Linked DNA regions of Nothobranchius furzeri. The protein of the gene in region 3 purifies or fractionates together with the protein of the main gene of each other region. This does not show direct contact. Links are inferred from orthologs where the notes say so. Each region holds a gene or a part of one and is shown on either strand. Other genes may lie near its edges.

Region 1 (4,432 bases), on a different chromosome or scaffold from region 3:
AGTTCACACATTAGATATTAATCCCACTAATACTGGCGCATCATCCAGTCATCTGAGGGTTGGCGGTTCAATCCCAGCCTTTCCTGTCACTTTGTGTGTGTGTGTGTGTGTGTGTGTGTGTGTGTGTGTGTGTGTGTGTGTGTGTGTGTGTGTGTGTGTGTGTGTGTGTGTGTGTGTGTGTGTGTGAGAGAGAGAGATAGATGTAGCTCACCACCATCAGAGTGAATGAATAATGGATTCTCTCTAAAGCTCTTTGGCTCCTTTTTTATCATATAAGGTTATTATCGTCTCATTTAGGGCTGGGCCATTTGGACCAGAACCTGTAGCTCCACATCTTTATTCCTGTTAGGTATTTACAAGTGAACTCATTTAAATCTGAATTAACCAGCGAATTAAGTGCATCCTGGTTCTGCTGCCATCCACCATCAGTCTGAGCTGTGGGAACACTGGTGCAGTTGTCACACGTAGCTCTACGGTGCTGCTTACTACTGCTCTTATTTTCTGTCTCGTCCGTCTTCATAAACGAGTAAAGATGTCAACGAAACAAATCGGCTTCTGGGTGTTGTTTCTGAAGATTTGCGTTTCATGTTGTACATAAAGGATGATGGTCTAGAGTTCCTGCTCCCTTCCCAACCATCCATGATGTCATTTCCTCTTCCAGGTACGCTGCTAACATAGAGAAGATTGACTACGACGATGAGAAAGTACTGATCCATTATCGCCAGTGGAGCCATCGCTATGATGAGTGGTTTGACTGGACCAGTCCCTACCTGAGACCCGTAGAGAGGATCCAGCTGAGGAGGCAGGGCCTGAACGGCGACTCTTCACCTGTAAGCTCACATCTCCATCACGCTTTTGCCTGTGCTGCACAGGAAGCAAGGTGTTTGGTTCTGCAGTCCACTTAGCATGGTTCCCACACCTACCTGCTGTCACAGCCAATAACTAGTGATGCACCCATATGAAAGTTTTGGGCCGACTCCGGTATTAAGATCACTGTTGTGGCCGATAACCAATATTTGCCGATTACCGATATACTGGCATTAATGCTTCTAAAATCATCAGATTTTGTATAGAATGAAAATTATTAAAGCTGAATTTACATTAATATGTACACACACCACACACATTTATAGTTCTGAGATGATTACGATCACGGTCACGTGACTAAACAATCACACATCACCCACCTCACCCTCTGAAACAGGCAAACAAATGGAGACAAGATGGAAAAACTACCGGTTAATATCGGCCCGGTTTTATTTATCGAACCAATGCTGATAAGTTAAAAATGACTAACATCGGCTGATACCGAGATTGATGCCGATATATTGTCCATCCCTACCGATAACAAATATTTATCACATAGACATGCTTACACCACCTGCTTCTGTTAAACACCCCCACATTTAGGGCTGAACGATTGCGATTATTATTATTTTCTTCAATATTGCAATTGAGATTTAATTCACGAATATTTTCTCAAGGGGCTTTTCTCATTTTTCAACTAACAGAAGCAAAAATAATCTATGTACAGTTGTGGTCAGAAGTTTACATACACTTGTAAAAAATATAATATAATGGCTCTACTGAGTGTCCCGTTATTTCTAAAACTCTGATTTTTCTCTGATAGAGTGACTGGAACAGATACTTCTTTGTCACAAAAAAACATTCATGAAGTTTGGTTCTTTAATGTCTTTATTATGGGTTAACAGAGAAAAGTGATCACATTTGCTGGGACACAAATATACATGCAGCAGTGCTAATATTTGGTTACATGTCCCTTAGCCATTTTCACTTCAATTAGGCGCTTTTGGTAGCCATCCACAAGCTTCTGGTTGAATCTTTGACCACTCCTCTTGACAGAATTGGTGAAGTTCAGTTAAATTTGATGGCTTTCTGACATGGACTTGTTTCTTCAGCACTGTCCACATGTTTTCAATGGGGTTTAAGTCAGGACTTTGGGAAGGCCATTCTAAAACCCTTATTCTAGCCTGATTTAGCCATTCCTTTACCACTTTTGATGTGTGTTTGGGGTCATTGTCCTGTTGGAACACCCAACTGCGCCCAAGACCCAACCTTCGTACTGATGATTTTAGGTTATGTTGAAGAATGTGAAGGTAATCCTCCTTCTTCATTATCCCATTTACTCTCTGTAAAGCACCAGTTCCATTGGCAGCAAAACAGCCCCACAGCATAATATTCCCACCACCATGCTTGACTGTAGGCATGGTGTTCTTGGGGTTAAAGGCCTCACCTTTTCTCCTCCAAACATATTGCTGGGCACTGTGGCCAAAAAGCTCGATTTTCGTTTCGTCTGACCACAGAACTTTCCTCCAGAAGGTCTTATCTTTGTCCATGTGATCAGCAGCAAACTTCAGTCGAGCCTTAAGGTGCCACTTTTGGAGCAAAGGCTTCCTTCTTGCACGGCAGCCTCTCAGTCCATGGAGATGCAAAACACGTTTGACTGTGGACAATGACACCTGTGTTCCAGCAGCTTCTAATTCTTGGCAGATCTGCTTTTTGGTGATTCTTGGTTCACTCTTTACCCTCCTGACCAATTTTCTCTCAGCAGCAGGTGATAGCTTGCGTTTTCTTCCTGATCTTGGCAGTGATGAAACAGTGCCATGCACCTTATACTTACAAACAATTGTTTGCACTGTTGCTCTTGGGACCTGCAGCTGCTTTGAAATGGCCCCAAGTGACTTTCCTGACTTGTTCAAGTCAATAATTCGCTTTTTCAGATCCATGCTGAGCTCCTTTGACTTTCCCATTGTAGTGTTTGTGGGCGTTTGTATCCAATGAGCCCTATTTACCTGGCCTAAGAGAAGTCACCCGCTGTAGTCACTCATAATCACTCACAAGAAGTTAAGAGGCCATGCTATGAAGCTCAGTTCACTGACACGTTTCTAAGCCACCAAAATTGCTAGTTCATGTTGCTGTATGTATATTTGTGACCCAGCAAATGTGATCACTTTTCTCTGTTAACCCATAATAAAGACATTAAAGAACCAAACTTCATGAATGTTTTTTGTGACAAAGAAGTATCTGTTCCAATCACCCTATCAGAGAAAAATCAGAGTTTTAGAAATAACGGGACACTCAGTAGAGCCATTATATTATATTTTTTACAAGTGTATGTAAACTTCTGACCACAACTGTAACTTGTACTGAATATAAACAAGTTTATGTATCTACTTATTTATCTACAGATCATATCAACACGTTTATTCGTCTACATAAACATAAACACTCGCCAGTAAAGACCACATTTTGTATTTGAAGGTGCGATGCTTTGCAGCCAGGAGCACATCCCTTGAAGCAGCATAGTGTCCCGTTTAAGTCTTTTGTGTTTAGAGTTTTTGATGTCTTGTCCACACTGAGCTTCCGTAGTTCAGTTTCGTCCATAGCTGCTAGCCAAACCTCAGTGGAGTTAGCCTCTTACGTTTCCTAGCTTTACTAAAATATCTGTCTGTACTTATTTGATTAATGGCTGTTTTTACTTTTTATTAGACTCCAAATCTAATCATTTGGCACGTTTCTAATTCATAATTTGTAAGAATGTATTAGGCAATATTAGCATTAGTATCCCTAAGGTGTTTTCCTGGTGTATTAGCATTTTGCTAACCACTTGCTGCCAGCCAAATCGCAGTCTTTGCGATTAGAAAATCTCCTTTTGTTACATTGCAGTTGAATTGCATATGCAATTAATTGTTCAGCCCCCCCCCACCCCACCCCACCCCCCCAAAAAGCCCTCACAAACAGGTAGAGCAGGTTGTCCGGTAATCGGAAGTTTGCAGGTTAGATCCTGGCTCCGACCAGAGAGTGCTGCTGTTGTGTCCTTGGGCAAGACACTTAACCCACCTTGCCTACTGATGGTGTTCGGAGGGACCGGTGGCGTCTGTGCTCGGCAGCCTCGCCTCTGTCAGTGCGCCCCAGGGCAGCTGTTGCTACCTCGTAGCTCATCCCCACCAGCGTGTGGAAGTGTGTGTGAATGGGTGAATGACTGATCGTGTTGGGGGGGGGGTGTAGAACCCTAAGAAGGCGCTGTACAAATACAGGCCATTTACCATCAGTTTGGCTTATCAGAGCGAGGAGGTTGATGCTGATCCGTGGTGCATCCCCGTTATGGACTCCTCGCCCCTGAAACGCTGGCGGGTCGTTCCCATGATGCACTAAAGTCACGCTGTTTCCTCCAGGGCTTTCACGTAAATGACAAGGTTCTGGCCAGCTGGTCCGACTGCCGTTTCTACCCCGCTAAAGTCATTTCAGTCAATAAAGATGGTGGGTATCGTGTTAAATATTTAATGGTTTCATGAATCTCACAAAGGAAAGCTTTAGCTGGTGTCTTCTTTGGTGTCCGCTGTAGCGTCCTACACTGTAAAGTTCTACGACGGAGTCATCCAGACAGTGAAGGGAATGCACGTGAAGCCTT
Region 2 (4,432 bases), on a different chromosome or scaffold from region 3:
CCATCAACAAAGCATTCATGGCCAACGAGCGGTACAGACGTCAGCAGAACGCCTCACAGAGCAGCAGTCCACAGCCGATTCCTCCAGAGAAGAGGTGAGCCGTCACACGTCGCAGTTATAAGCAACTAGATCCAACTGGGGAAGCACAAATGAAATGAAAGGGACTCGAGTGTGTTTAGTTGGGTCATAAATGTCTGCAACTATCGTGACATTTGAAAACCCAAAAGCTAACTTTAAAGCAATTGTAGAAGTGGATCGATCACTTTGGTTTCTATAATTACAGTAAGGTATTTTATCCTTACTTGCTTTGGGTTCTGTTTTCCTATTGGCCAGCAGAGGGCGCACTTACTCCACTAATTCTTTGTTAGAAGTGTTTATATTACTTTAAATAAAAGGGGATGCTCTTAAGCATCACGTATGTATTTACTTTGGAAACAAATCTATTCAGAGTGCTAATGTGCTTGAAGAATAGGATTAGTACTTTTACCAGCTATTAAAAAGCTGAATCATTTGGTTAGAGTGCAATGTCATGTGACTAGAGACTAGAGAAAAAAAATGTACATATAACATTTTTAAATATCAAAATTACTCGCTGCGATGCCCTGAAAGTCCTGTTATTTGTCGTTTTTAAGCGAGGAGCTCTGTAAGGAAATGGTCGACGGCCTGAGGATCACGTTTGACTTCACCCTACCCATGATCCTCCTCTACCCATGTGAACAAGCTCAGTTCAAAAAAGTCAGCTCTTCCAAACTCTTCCTCAGCACGAACGAAGGCTCGCCCTCCTCCAGCAAGTAAGTGTGGCCTGACGAGTGCGCCGTCCATTTGCACTATCTGGGTTGTTTATTTTTTGCCTTTCAAAGCACCCAACGAGAACGCAGCCCGAGCCCACCAGTCCACAACCCCCCCACTCCTCAGTCCACAGACAGCCAGCCGGCTCTGAGCGACACGTCCGCCACCACGCCCACTGCTGCAGCTCCCACTCCGAAGCGCCGGCGCCACCCCGATATGGACTGCATCTCCTACCAGTCTCAGTCCCTCAGACGCTCCACGAGGAACACATCAGGAGGGGATCGGCCCGCTGAGGGAAGCAGCGGAGGTCATCAGAGTGAGTTTTGTGTTCAGTCCTTGTGCAGGGTTTATATCGCTTTTGTGACAGATTTCTTTAATGATAGGTGGAGGCAGCGCTACGGCCTCACCACAGCTCAAACGCCGTTTTGTCGACATCTCTTCGCAACCAAAGTTCTTCCTCAACCTGGACAGAAGTAGGTTTACTCTTTTTATAAAAGGAAACGTTACACCGTTTAGTTTTTGTCCTAGATTTATTTAGATTATGGTTGTTTCAGTGAGAAGAACTTCAGATTTGTTGCTGATAAAGCTACAGTAGCAAATCTGGAAAACAAGCTAACTTAAAAAAAATTCATGCTTTTTAACAATGTTCTAACATAGGATAGCTATAAATATATTCTTGAGATAAAACAGTGATTCTCTAGCATTTGTCTAAAACCCTCAGCCAATAACACGGCTAGATCTGAACCCAACGATTGGTTCATTCGGTCGTCTGTCTCATCGAACCACCGCACTTACTCACTTCCCCGGGTCCTCCACTCATTACGTGCTTGCACATTTAGCAACAGAACACCGCTGTTAGAGGTTCTTGGTTCAATAATGTCAAAGAAGAAGAAACAGCCGGCTGCTACCGCTTTAACTTTTGGACAAACTACCAGAGTCCCAAAAAGAAAAACCCCATTTGACGTCATGGACAACAACTTTTGGACCTAGAAAACAGCGACTGGTGTTTAGTGCTCTCACGTTTCCTCTGGCAGTGTGGGTTCGGGTGTCAGGGGGACGTGGCATAGGGATCATGGCTAATGGGCTAACTTGTTCTGTAGATTTGCTAAGTCTCGGATGGATGGGATGGATAACCTGTAGAGCTGGGTGCAGCGGGGAAAGTTGGTGCTTTTTATCTGGGAGAAAAGAATAAGGTGGAGGATGTATTTAGTGAAAAGAAGGAGCCCCAACAATGAGCCCTGAGGTACACCGGTGGAAACAGGAAACACAAATATGAATGCAAAAAGGTCTCGGTGTTTCGTGGTAGTACTAGTACTAGCATTCGTTAAGCTAAAGGGAATGAGTGGGTGACTTGCTTGGAGAACAGAAGTTACTGGCAGTTTTCAATAATGAAAGAACCGTACCAATAATGAAAGATGAATTGGTGACTGAGTAAATGGCAGGTTGTTGGTTTAGATCAATGATCCGCAACTGGCGGCCCTTGGGCCACGCCTGGCCCGCGAGCCTTCTCTTTGTGGCCCCCAAACCCCGCGCCCACCCCCACCCCCGACGGCCGACCGGGAGGTGTAGGATAGAGCTGAGGAAAATAATAAAATAATCGATGCATGAGATGCGGGCATAAAAAATTCCGCATCATAGAACATTACCATAATCAGTTATAGAGGAATGTGGTTTTGTTATTTTAACGGCGGCATCAGCGTAGCATCCACATCTGTCAGAGCGGTGTTCTCCACATTTATCAGGTAGGAAACTTTAGTCCGCCTTTATGTGGTACTGCAGGGCTGAGCGCTGGAGTTATAACCCGAACCGAATCAGCCCGATCGGTTCTGTTGGATTTGGGCCATAAATTATGTTAATTGAGCAGGTTGTCGCGCACTCCGCTCGCTCGATCAGCGAGAGCGAGAGAGAGAGAGAGAGAGAGAGAGACGTTCCTCCAAACACGCGTTATTTTCATAAGTTCATTATTGTTTCTCCTGGAAGCGCTCAGTCAGACCGAGTGCTGTGATGTGGGGAGGTCCGGTCTTGGGGGGGGGAGCGGAGTCAGTCGGGGGCCGTCTTGCTTCTGGGTCTTTTTTGTGAGTGGCCCTCAGACCATTATAATTGAGGACCCCTGGTTTAGATAATAAATCAAATGAGTGACATCATCAAGGCACGAGTGAGGTAGGGTTGGGGGTAACATGAGGTCAGACTTACAGGCTGCTTTTGCTGCCTGCAGTAGCTACTGCATGCCACTAGATGGTGTCATTTTACTTCCCCTTTCTTGAAGCACCCCTCAGGTATTCTAGTTAAGCAGCAATAAACAGCTGTAATGTCATGAAATGGCCTGATTTTGAGATCCCACAGGTCAGATCCACAGCCAGGTCAACGTACCCCTGGCTATGACACAACCTACAAGATTTTCCCCTCACAGGAGACTGGAAGTCTGCGCGTAGTCCCTTTAATCAGAGCCTGCCTTCCTCACACCAGCTGGACTGCAGCTCTGACAGATAATAAAAGATGAACAATAACATTCTCTCCTCCAAGGTCCTTCACAGAGAAACTCTTTCAAATGAACTCCTTTATTCCCAGAAGAAAGAAGATTTTATAATTAAAGATAATCATTAAATATTGCTATTTATAATTATATGCAATGAGATGTTCATTGATCTGTGTTTAATGATAAATGCTTAGCATGTTTACTGGGTGAGGTCATCACCATTTGCACACTCATACAAAGACAAAGTAAAGTGAAGTTAACACATGACACATAGTTAACCTTTTGCCCAGATTCAGAGTCTCTAGATCGAAGAGGGTGTGTTCTGAGATTCTTGGTAACATCTCCCAAACTCGTCAGCCCCTGATTGGCTGGCCAAATCCATAACATCAATCTATTAAAACCAGTCGCTCTGGTTTTTCCCTCAGTTCGAACAGTTCGAGAGTTCTAGAGCGAGCTTCAGACCGGCCATCTTTAGCACCTCTAACCAGTAAGGATTTTGACACATCGTCTAAATCTTTAAAACCTTTTTTGCACCTGCGAAGCCGAGAAGAACAAGATAGTACCTGCAGTACAAAGCAAACGCAAACTCCTTCAGAGTTATTTTTAAGACGCTCGGCTTCATCTGTCGTTGTGACCCGGAGACATCTCAGGACTGATTTGGTTGCATCGAGGTTTCTCTACGAACCACGTGCATTGGGGTCGTCGGCTCCTTGACATCTCGGATCCGAACGGGGGTCTCCAGAACGGGTGAGGTAGCACACAGCGAGATAGCGTCTGTATGTGGTTTTGATAATAACAACTTTATAGCTTATTTGCAAACAAAATTCTTTTATGTCCAGAACTCACTGAGAAACGGAGATTCTGACTCCATTACATTATATTCACACATAACTTCCAGACACCATCCTTAGTTCGCATCCACTCACAGTAAATAATAGTTTAACCATTTTGTCAAATCTTAATTGTTTGTAAAATAAATTCGTAATTTTTATAAACCTGACTGTTTCTTGAATCAAACGAAGTGTGTACGATCCCTTAATGAATAAAGAATCCTAGAATCTTCTGACTAAAACAAATAAAGACCAGGCAAGGTGATATTCTATATTTAAATAGAGTATTAGAGCTTATTGGTCACAAGTGGTGTTAATAATATAATTAGCTCTTAAA
Region 3 (3,854 bases):
TTCCGAATCTCCGGCTAGAAGAACATGAACGCGCTCAAAAGTTTGGCTTCACTTTACTAAATGCGGCGGGTGATTGGGTGAAGATGAAACCAGTGACAACGATCTAAGTGTGAGGCATCATCGTTTAAATCTGCTCCAGCAGCTAAATAATCTGTTTAAGATAACGTTAGCTTGATATGTTAGCTTCCATTGCCACCATTGTTATCAGCTAATGGTGCGTTCGCTTTGTCCTTGGAAATTCTAACTTCCCAGTAGGAAAAATCAAATGAAAAAGGACGGCAAAAGGAATGAAGATACACAATAAATTTAGTTCACAGTAAAGATGTTTGCTTCAGTTTAATTATCAGCTTATAAAACTATAAGGACGATGTTAAAATACAAACAGTTGAATGATATTTATTGTGATATTTATCAAATATGGTTATAAATTGAGAAAAATATATATTTAATTATAAAAGAGAATTAAAATATTAAACACTCAAAAGTATCTAAAATTGGTACTGTTAAGTACCGGTATCGATTCCTAGGTACCGGGAATTAGTACTGAATCTATTCAAATGTCAAAGGTACCCATCCCTAAATGGTGGCCACACCAGATACTGACTGGTTCTGAGTCCCCAGACCCCCAACAAAGCAAAAAACTGTGCATTCCAGGGTGGCCTTTTATTGTGGGCAGTATAAGGTACACCTGTGCACTACTCATGATGTCAGATCAGCATCTTGATGTGGCACACCTGTGAGGTGGGATGGATTATCTCGGCAAAGCAGAAGTGCTCACTATCACACATTTAGACTGATTTGTGAACAATGTTCGAGAGAAATGGTGATATTGTGTATCTGGAATGAATTTTAGATATTTAAGTCCATCTCATGAAAAATGGGAGCAGAAACAAAGGTGTTGCGTTTATATTTTTGTTGAGTGTATGTTTTAAAATGACTAATATTATAAATTGTAGGGTGAAGCTAGAAATGAACGTTTAGTTTTTCTTTTGCAGGAAAAAGAGTCTCCAGATGGGAATAACGTGGCCTGTATTCTCACTCTTCCACCTTACCAGCGCAGAGGCTACGGGAAGTTCCTCATAGCTTTCAGTAGGTCGAAGGCCTCTGCCATGTTATATACTATAGTACAAATATTACTGGTAGTTAAACATACCCATTTATATATTTTAGAAACTTTGGCTGTTTTCTTAAATCTTTATTCAGAATCTGCTTTATTTGTGATCTTATTTGATGGTTTGCTACACCATCACCTCTGACTGGTGTTCTTACCTCCAATAGTTCATTGTTGGTGCCAGTGGGTACTGCCTTGGCTCCATCTCACATACATAAACGTAAATCAGAGCTGAAATGTGATTTTGTTGAGACAAACTGAGTTTTCATATTTAATCAGCTCAATTTCTTCCTAAACGTTTGGAAAGATGTTTTCTTTTTTATGTTCATAAAACATTTTAGTTATCTTGGGCTAAATGACAGATTTCATGATTGGACTCTTCTCTGGATTATTGAGAAAATAACTGGTGGAGTAAACAGTATTGTGTGTTTTGCCGCTGTGTGTAGGTTATGAGCTCTCGAAGCTGGAGAACACCGTCGGCTCTCCTGAGAAGCCTTTGTCTGATCTGGGGAAGCTGAGCTACAGAAGTTACTGGTCCTGGGTTCTGCTGGAGATCCTGAGGGACTTCAGAGGAACGCTGTCCATCAAAGATCTCAGGTGAGCACGCAGAGAACAGCAGAAACAGTGTCGTCTGCTGTAGGGGATCACGACTGCTTTCATTCACTAACTGGGCGTCAACGATCAGAGTTCACTAATAACCAAACAACTTCAACCATTAAAATGTGTAAATAAAAAAAATTAAAAACTAGTTTGTCACGAAGTATGAAATGTGCTTTGAAGAGTCAGATAGTCGTCCGTGTTTTATCCTTAGATTGAAACGTTAATAAAAATATTTAAAAATATTAAAGATGCACCAAATCAGGCTGAGATGCATCCTTCATCACCTGCTGAATCTTCTCATGAAATCCTCACTAGAACTCACTGCTGATGTCACCAGCACTGATCCTGTTTTTCAGCCAGATGACCAGCATCACTCAGAGTGACATCATCAGTACTCTGCAGTCTCTCAACATGGTGAAATACTGGAAGGGCCAGCATGTCATCTGTGTGACGCCCAAACTGGTGGAGGAGCACCTGAAGAGCGCCCAGTACAAGAAACCACCCATCACAGGTAGGTGGAGCCCCCCTTCGCTCTGCGGAAACGCCACTTCCTGTTCTCTGTGATGCTGGGAGACACACAGCTCAGGTTACAGGTCTCTGCTGGGCAATCTTCTGAAAACAATCATTCACAAGAGATGTTGATAAATGATGAAAGCAGCTAGAGAAAAACTCTGGAAGTGCTACAGAAAGTCTGGAGGGCCGATGATCTGGACCCTTTAAGGCTCACAGGAATGTTTGGCTGCTTGGAAGGAAACTAGAGAAGGACCTGATCATGAGTTTTGTATTTTTATCTTTCATGTCCAGTTCTTGTCCCCAAGGTTTAACCAATCAGTGGACATTCATAACAAATGTCTTTTTTGCTTTATTTTCATCAGTTAAAGTATTTTATAACTTTTAAGAATTATTAATTTTCTGTACGTAATTCTTATTTAATCTCCAGGTGAACAGTTACCCTTTGGCTGTAGTTCTGTTGTAATTCCTACATCTGAGGATATGTAGGAAACACTCGGCTTAGCGAAGCCTGTTGTTTGAACTTCCTGGGGACTTTTTAAGGTGCTTGTCTCTTTTTGTTGACAGTGGACACCATGTGTTTGAAGTGGGCGCCTCCCAAGAATAAACAAGTCAAGTTGTCGAAGAAGTGAGACGAAAGCATCCCACATGCCAGCCTACCTGTTTTCACACAGACTGTATATAGTTGTTAGTAGTGTCGATATTTTCTTATAATAAACTTGTATATACACACATGAAAAAATACTTTTCTGTTTTTATTCGACTTAAATGTTGGTTCTACATATCTATAATTGGTCATTGGATTTCACTCCGGTGTTTTTAGTATAAATGATGGGTTTCGTTTACATCTGCATACAGGAAATAAAAATTATAATTTGAGAGAAATGCCTTCATGTTATGGCCACCAGCCTCTTCAGCTCCAGGAGCCAGGATCACCCAGCCTCCTGGGATCAGCCTAGACTCCGCCCTTCCTCCTCCTCTTCTCTAGGCTGCTGATGAGCTGAATCCATCCAATGGCCCACACCTGGGATAGAAGGTTGTGCCATCAACAGTCTAGGAGGCAGCAGTGCAGGGGTCCTGCTGTCCTCCAGGCGTCGTATTGGATGAATTTTAACTAAAAATTCAGATGATCCAGATGGGTCTTGTGAGGTTATTCCCTCTTATATGTCAACATAGTTGACTGATGACCTTAATGGTCTTTGTAATTGGTATTTTAAGGTTAACTTTGTTTTTTAGACACTATCAGCTTCGTGCTTTTAAACACCTTTTTGTTATGGTGAAACTTTAAATCAGTTTTAACCAGGTGCCCTAATCTTTTAATGTTAACCTTTTTGTTAAGACTTTTAAATAAGCCTTAGTTTTGTTCAGTGTTATTTTAATAGCACCCTCCACCTGTTTGCACCTTTTTTTTAAACCTTTTATGACAAACACATTTTATTTCAGAATTAAAATGTGTCATAAAAGGTGAATTCGAGTACCCGGTAGTCACACACTTGGGTGTGTATAAATTCAGTTCAAACTGCTTAAACAGGTCAGAGCAGGTAAACATCTTTACTTAAGAGAAAGTTTAAATTACCATTAAACCTTTAATAGGCTGTGTGATGTTTTCTGTTACAGAAATTAATGAATAAAA
Region 4 (4,432 bases), on a different chromosome or scaffold from region 3:
TTTTTTTCAGCAGACACCAGAGAAGGTCAGATGCTCTTCTAAAATAAAGTTCAAACATCATTGTATCTTAATTTATTACAATTTAAAATGACCTTGTTTCCCATCTGGGCTGTTTGATTGTGGTTTTAGTTGTGTTTGGAGAATGTGGACAGTTGTAGATGTTTGGGACATGAAACTGTGGAGGCCCCCAATTGGGGGGCGTTAGGGTTAAACTGGTTAAAGATCTTTTCCACTCAAGTCCATTTCAAACATGCTCAATGACTCATGATGAATAGCCTGCTAGGAGCGGGGCTCACCTTTCCGTTGATGTTAGTCACCAAGTTGGGCTGAACAAGTCGCCGGCGTCGACAGTAGATCAGCGGCCGTGTGCGTGCAGCCACACACGTGCTGTCGTATGCCAGCGGCGTCTGCAGCTTCGCATCAGTGCTGTCGGCCACCCTGGAAAAAAATGTCAAGACCAAAATTCAGACGCATTTCTGTTTGAGATGGATGTCACCAACACATCCGACCCAGTTTTACAAATGTTGAGCTTAAATCTGTTGAGATGGTAGCAGAGTCCTGCGCAGCACACAAACTCCTGTAGCTCCGGGCAGACGACGGTAAAAAGGTCAAAATAAGTTACACTAGATAACCACACAGAAGTCATCATTTACAGAGTCTGTGTCTAGATCAGGAAGTAGTTTGCCCTGGTTGGGTCCAGCTGGTCCCACAGAGGTCCAGGTGAAAGAAGAATATGGTGCTGGTGCTCATCTTTGAGGCCTCATGACCAAAACTAAAACATCTACTCTCCCACTAAGCTATAAGTAAAAACAAGCTAGCCAGCAGGTTCCAATGAAGATTCATCGTGTTTTGATAAATATTTGATTTAAAAAGATGCTTCTGGGATTGTTCTAGTCTTTAATTTTGTCTCACATTTGTTGGTTTCAGTCACAACTAGTCTACATGTGGCCTGTGAGAACAGATCTTTGCCTTTTGTGTTGATGAAAAGAATCAGAGTCTAATCACTGAAGCTCTGCGTGACATCAGCATCTCAGAATTACAAATCCATGAGAGAGGAGTAGGATCTGGTGGTCCTTCTGGGAAAGTGACAGGAGGTAAATCATTAGCCGTACCTGCTGAGGACGCCGTTAACCGGCTGCCCATTGTGACCTTTCCACGGGCCCTGCTCGGTGCTGCTTAAAGGGGCGGTGCTCGAGTTCTCCAGCCGTTCTGCACCACCTTCCTGCTCCGACAGATAAGACAAAACCAGTGAGACTACACCTCATGTTAACTGCAAGGGGCTGACCCTGCAGCACTTAGCCAGGCCCGGGTATTCAAAGAAACAACAAATCCAATCATCCAGAGGTTGTAAATTATTCAGTCCAAGTTTTTTAAAAAGGACTCCGTCCTCCCAATGCTCAAAATGTGCTCAGCACCACCCAGAAGCAGAGTTTTAGCTTCATCACAAGCTCTCACTCACAAATGCAGTTCTGTGGCTTCAGTCCCATTTCTGTTCTACTAAACCTACTGCACATAGGTCCCATTCTTTTTCAGCAGCCTTTAGAGCAAAATGTCATTAACAAATGACATCAAATTCAACCAGGGTTAAGTAAAAACAAATTTAAACCATCACGAGGAGAATCCCCACAGTTCTGCTTTAACTCTCAGACAGAAGTGATTTATATCCACATGTTTGAGGTTATCACACAGCTCCAATTTTATCCAGATCATTCTGACCTGAGGCTCCTTTCATTTCCCCTTTGACTAACAGAACAAACCTTTTGAATGATGAGGCGAGTCAGGAACATTCAATCCACACCAAAACAAACATTTAACTAAGGCCCTGTCCACACGTAGCCGGGGATCTGCCAAAACGTAGATATTTTTCTACGTTTTGGCCTGTCATCCACACGAAAACGGAGTTTTTTCCACACGAAAACGAATCTTTTTAAAAACTCCGGCCAAAGTGAAGATCTGCGTTTTCTCCGTTTTGGGTGTCTGCGTGTGGACAGACAAAACCAGAGTTTTAAGGTCCGCAACGTCACTTTCCGCGACAAAAAAATGCTGACATCACGTGTGCGACCTGTGTTTACACTAGCCGACAGCATGGATGCCCTCAGAGCTGCGCTCGCTTTATCAATTGTCCAAGCGCTTTTTGCTTGTTTGTTTTTGCAAGCGGAATTACTGCTCCCTGCGGAAGACCACAGACGAAGGACGAGGTTAAGAACGGGGGAAGTACTGCCGCCTACAGGTCTGGCATGTCCTTAACAACGTATTTATCTGGGTACGTGTGGACAGAGTTTTTTTTAAACGAGGTGGTGTGGATGCAAGTTTTTGGAGGGGCGGATATTCGTTTTAAAAAAAAAACAGGCTACGTGTGGACTAGGCCTAAATATTAATTACCATGTTCATCTATCATTTCAGCTCAAAGATAAAACGCTGTGCTCTGAAATACAGAATGTGTGACTTCCTTCTCAGAAAGATGTCAGATTTGTAGCTGCTACAACATTCACCAGATGCAGACAAACTCACACAGAAACCCTGCAGCTTCCTGCCGAGATGCAACCAAGAATAGAAGAGAAAGACATGGCGCTCCACTCACCTGAGTATTTACACCCTCTGTCTTTTCCATCCCACCTGTGAGCGCAGCGCTGGGGGCAACACCACCCAACTCCACCGAACCCTGTAGAGGTATAGAAGTGTTACTGCTAAAAAGTACATTAGGAGAACGCCATCGCCATGGAGGGATGAATCCCTGAGACTTCATCCTCGTTATCAAAGTCTATGTTAAAGAAGTTAAATAAATCACATTTCCCTAAAAAAATCCACAATGTTAGCATACAGATACATTTGACAATAAGTCAATTTGGTTGTTTCCCCAGTTTAAGGGACATTTCCAACATTCTGAAGTGGTTTTCTGAGTAAAAGTTCTAAATAATTCTTCTGAACTGATGTAGATGAACAGCTAGCCCGAGCCAACAGCTAACCTGACTGGAGACCAGATTTAAGTGTGTTCCTGCCATGTTCAGCTCTAAACTCCCACATTTCCCAGATATTCAGATGTCATTTTTAAACATTTTCTAGAGTCTCATTACAATCATAACATCTAACAAATAAGCTAAATACAAATGAAACTCAAAAAATTAGAATACAGAGCAAAAGTTCGATAACTTCAGCAATTCAACTTAAAAGGTAAAAAAAAAAAGGAGTTTATGTTTATTTATTTAGCAGACGCTTTTATCCAAAGCGACTTAAAATTTATAACCTATAGGGCATGTTGTGATCTTTGGGGGAAACCGGAGTACCCGGAGGAAACCCACGCATGCATGGGGAGAACACGCAACTCCACGCAGAAAGACTGCAGCCGAGTTTCGAACCTACAACCTTCATGCTGCGAGGCAACAGTGCTAACCACTGCACCACCATGCAAAGCCAGCCATTTCAGCCTTTGTCTGTTATAATTGTGATGATTATGGCTTACAGCTGATGAAAACCCTACGTTCAGAATCCCAGACTATTAGAACATTGTGAAAAGGTTCAATAATCTAGACTCAAAGTTTATGTTTAAGTATTTAGCAGACACTTTTGTCCAAAGCGACTTACATGTGATAACGAAGCCAGCAGGTTGTCCTTGAGGCTAACGACAAACACTAATCAGTCAATCCTAGGTGGCAGTGAGGCAGCATAATCAATCATAAAGGGAAGTGAACAAGGAGTGTCACGTTCTGATCAGCTAATGAATCCAGAACACCCGCAAAGGTTTCCTGAGCCTATAGATGGTCTCCCAGTCCAAGTTGAATTTCTGAAATAGATTGACTTATGGACCATATTCTAATTTTCAAGTTTCATTTGAAGTTATTAATGAATTTATAACTCTGAGGTTGCTGCAGGGTGAACGACAGTCTCAGTAAACGTTTTTATAGATTTTGAGAAAAACTACAGGTCCTCTTAGTATTTTCTCTGAAAAAGAATACACCAGTCAGAGCCACATGAGGACAAATTATCAGCAAGAAATTAACTACTGGGAAAATAAATGTGTAGCATGAAATAAATGCTTATATTAGTTTAATGCACTTCCCAAAAACAATAATAATCATTAAACAGTTTCAAAGAACCTTGTCAAATAAAAAAATATTGTGAATCAGTATCAGTTTCATAGAGTAATGTATGATAGAAACTGAAGGTCTAGTCTTCTCTCTCATAGGGATCTCATCCCCACCCCCGTTCCCACCCCAAGACCTTCATAAATATTAGTAAACAAATGAACCTTGCTGGCACGGATCTGTCTGTAGATGTCGGTCTGCTGCCGGATGCGGTACTCCAGGTCTGAGATGTGGGCCTGAAGCCAGTTCCAGTGGCTGATAATGGCAGCTCGTTCTACGGTGTAGCGACTCTCTGCCCGCTTCCATCTGTGGGAGATGGGGAGGAGATGTGAGTGCCTGTTTTAAGGTGA

The links.
Region 1: the proteins of kat8 (region 3) and phf20a purify together in Homo sapiens (affinity purification with mass spectrometry; 3 studies listed by BioGRID and IntAct, counting the BioPlex papers as one, with this or other methods). This does not show direct contact. The link is inferred for Nothobranchius furzeri from reciprocal best matches to the Homo sapiens genes KAT8 and PHF20.
Region 2: the proteins of kat8 (region 3) and MSL complex subunit 3 purify together in Homo sapiens (affinity purification with mass spectrometry; 4 studies listed by BioGRID and IntAct, with this or other methods). This does not show direct contact. The link is inferred for Nothobranchius furzeri from reciprocal best matches to the Homo sapiens genes KAT8 and MSL3.
Region 4: the proteins of kat8 (region 3) and KAT8 regulatory NSL complex subunit 1 purify together in Homo sapiens (affinity purification with western blotting; 4 studies listed by BioGRID and IntAct, with this or other methods). This does not show direct contact. The link is inferred for Nothobranchius furzeri from reciprocal best matches to the Homo sapiens genes KAT8 and KANSL1.

The regions. Positions count from the first base shown.
Region 1 is NC_091743.1:40,246,268-40,250,699, forward strand, and holds part of phf20a (PHD finger protein 20), read left to right. Parts: intron 1-661; coding exon 662-830; intron 831-4,196; coding exon 4,197-4,281; intron 4,282-4,366; coding exon 4,367-4,432. UniProt on the Homo sapiens protein: Methyllysine-binding protein, component of the MOF histone acetyltransferase protein complex.
Region 2 is NC_091754.1:51,287,063-51,291,494, reverse strand, and holds part of MSL complex subunit 3, read left to right. Parts: coding exon 1-94; intron 95-632; coding exon 633-791; intron 792-860; coding exon 861-1,105; intron 1,106-1,172; coding exon 1,173-1,262; intron 1,263-4,432. UniProt on the Homo sapiens protein: Non-catalytic component of the MSL histone acetyltransferase complex, a multiprotein complex that mediates the majority of histone H4 acetylation at 'Lys-16' (H4K16ac), an epigenetic mark that prevents chromatin compaction.
Region 3 is NC_091745.1:17,463,250-17,467,103, reverse strand, and holds the end of kat8 (histone acetyltransferase KAT8), read left to right. Parts: intron 1-995; coding exon 996-1,089; intron 1,090-1,557; coding exon 1,558-1,708; intron 1,709-2,067; coding exon 2,068-2,222; intron 2,223-2,788; coding exon 2,789-2,853; 3' UTR 2,854-2,965; downstream 2,966-3,854.
Region 4 is NC_091756.1:53,938,624-53,943,055, forward strand, and holds part of KAT8 regulatory NSL complex subunit 1, read right to left. Parts: intron 4,389-4,432; coding exon 4,247-4,388; intron 2,663-4,246; coding exon 2,582-2,662; intron 1,223-2,581; coding exon 1,113-1,222; intron 439-1,112; coding exon 297-438; intron 1-296. UniProt on the Homo sapiens protein: Non-catalytic component of the NSL histone acetyltransferase complex, a multiprotein complex that mediates histone H4 acetylation at 'Lys-5'- and 'Lys-8' (H4K5ac and H4K8ac) at transcription start sites and promotes transcription initiation.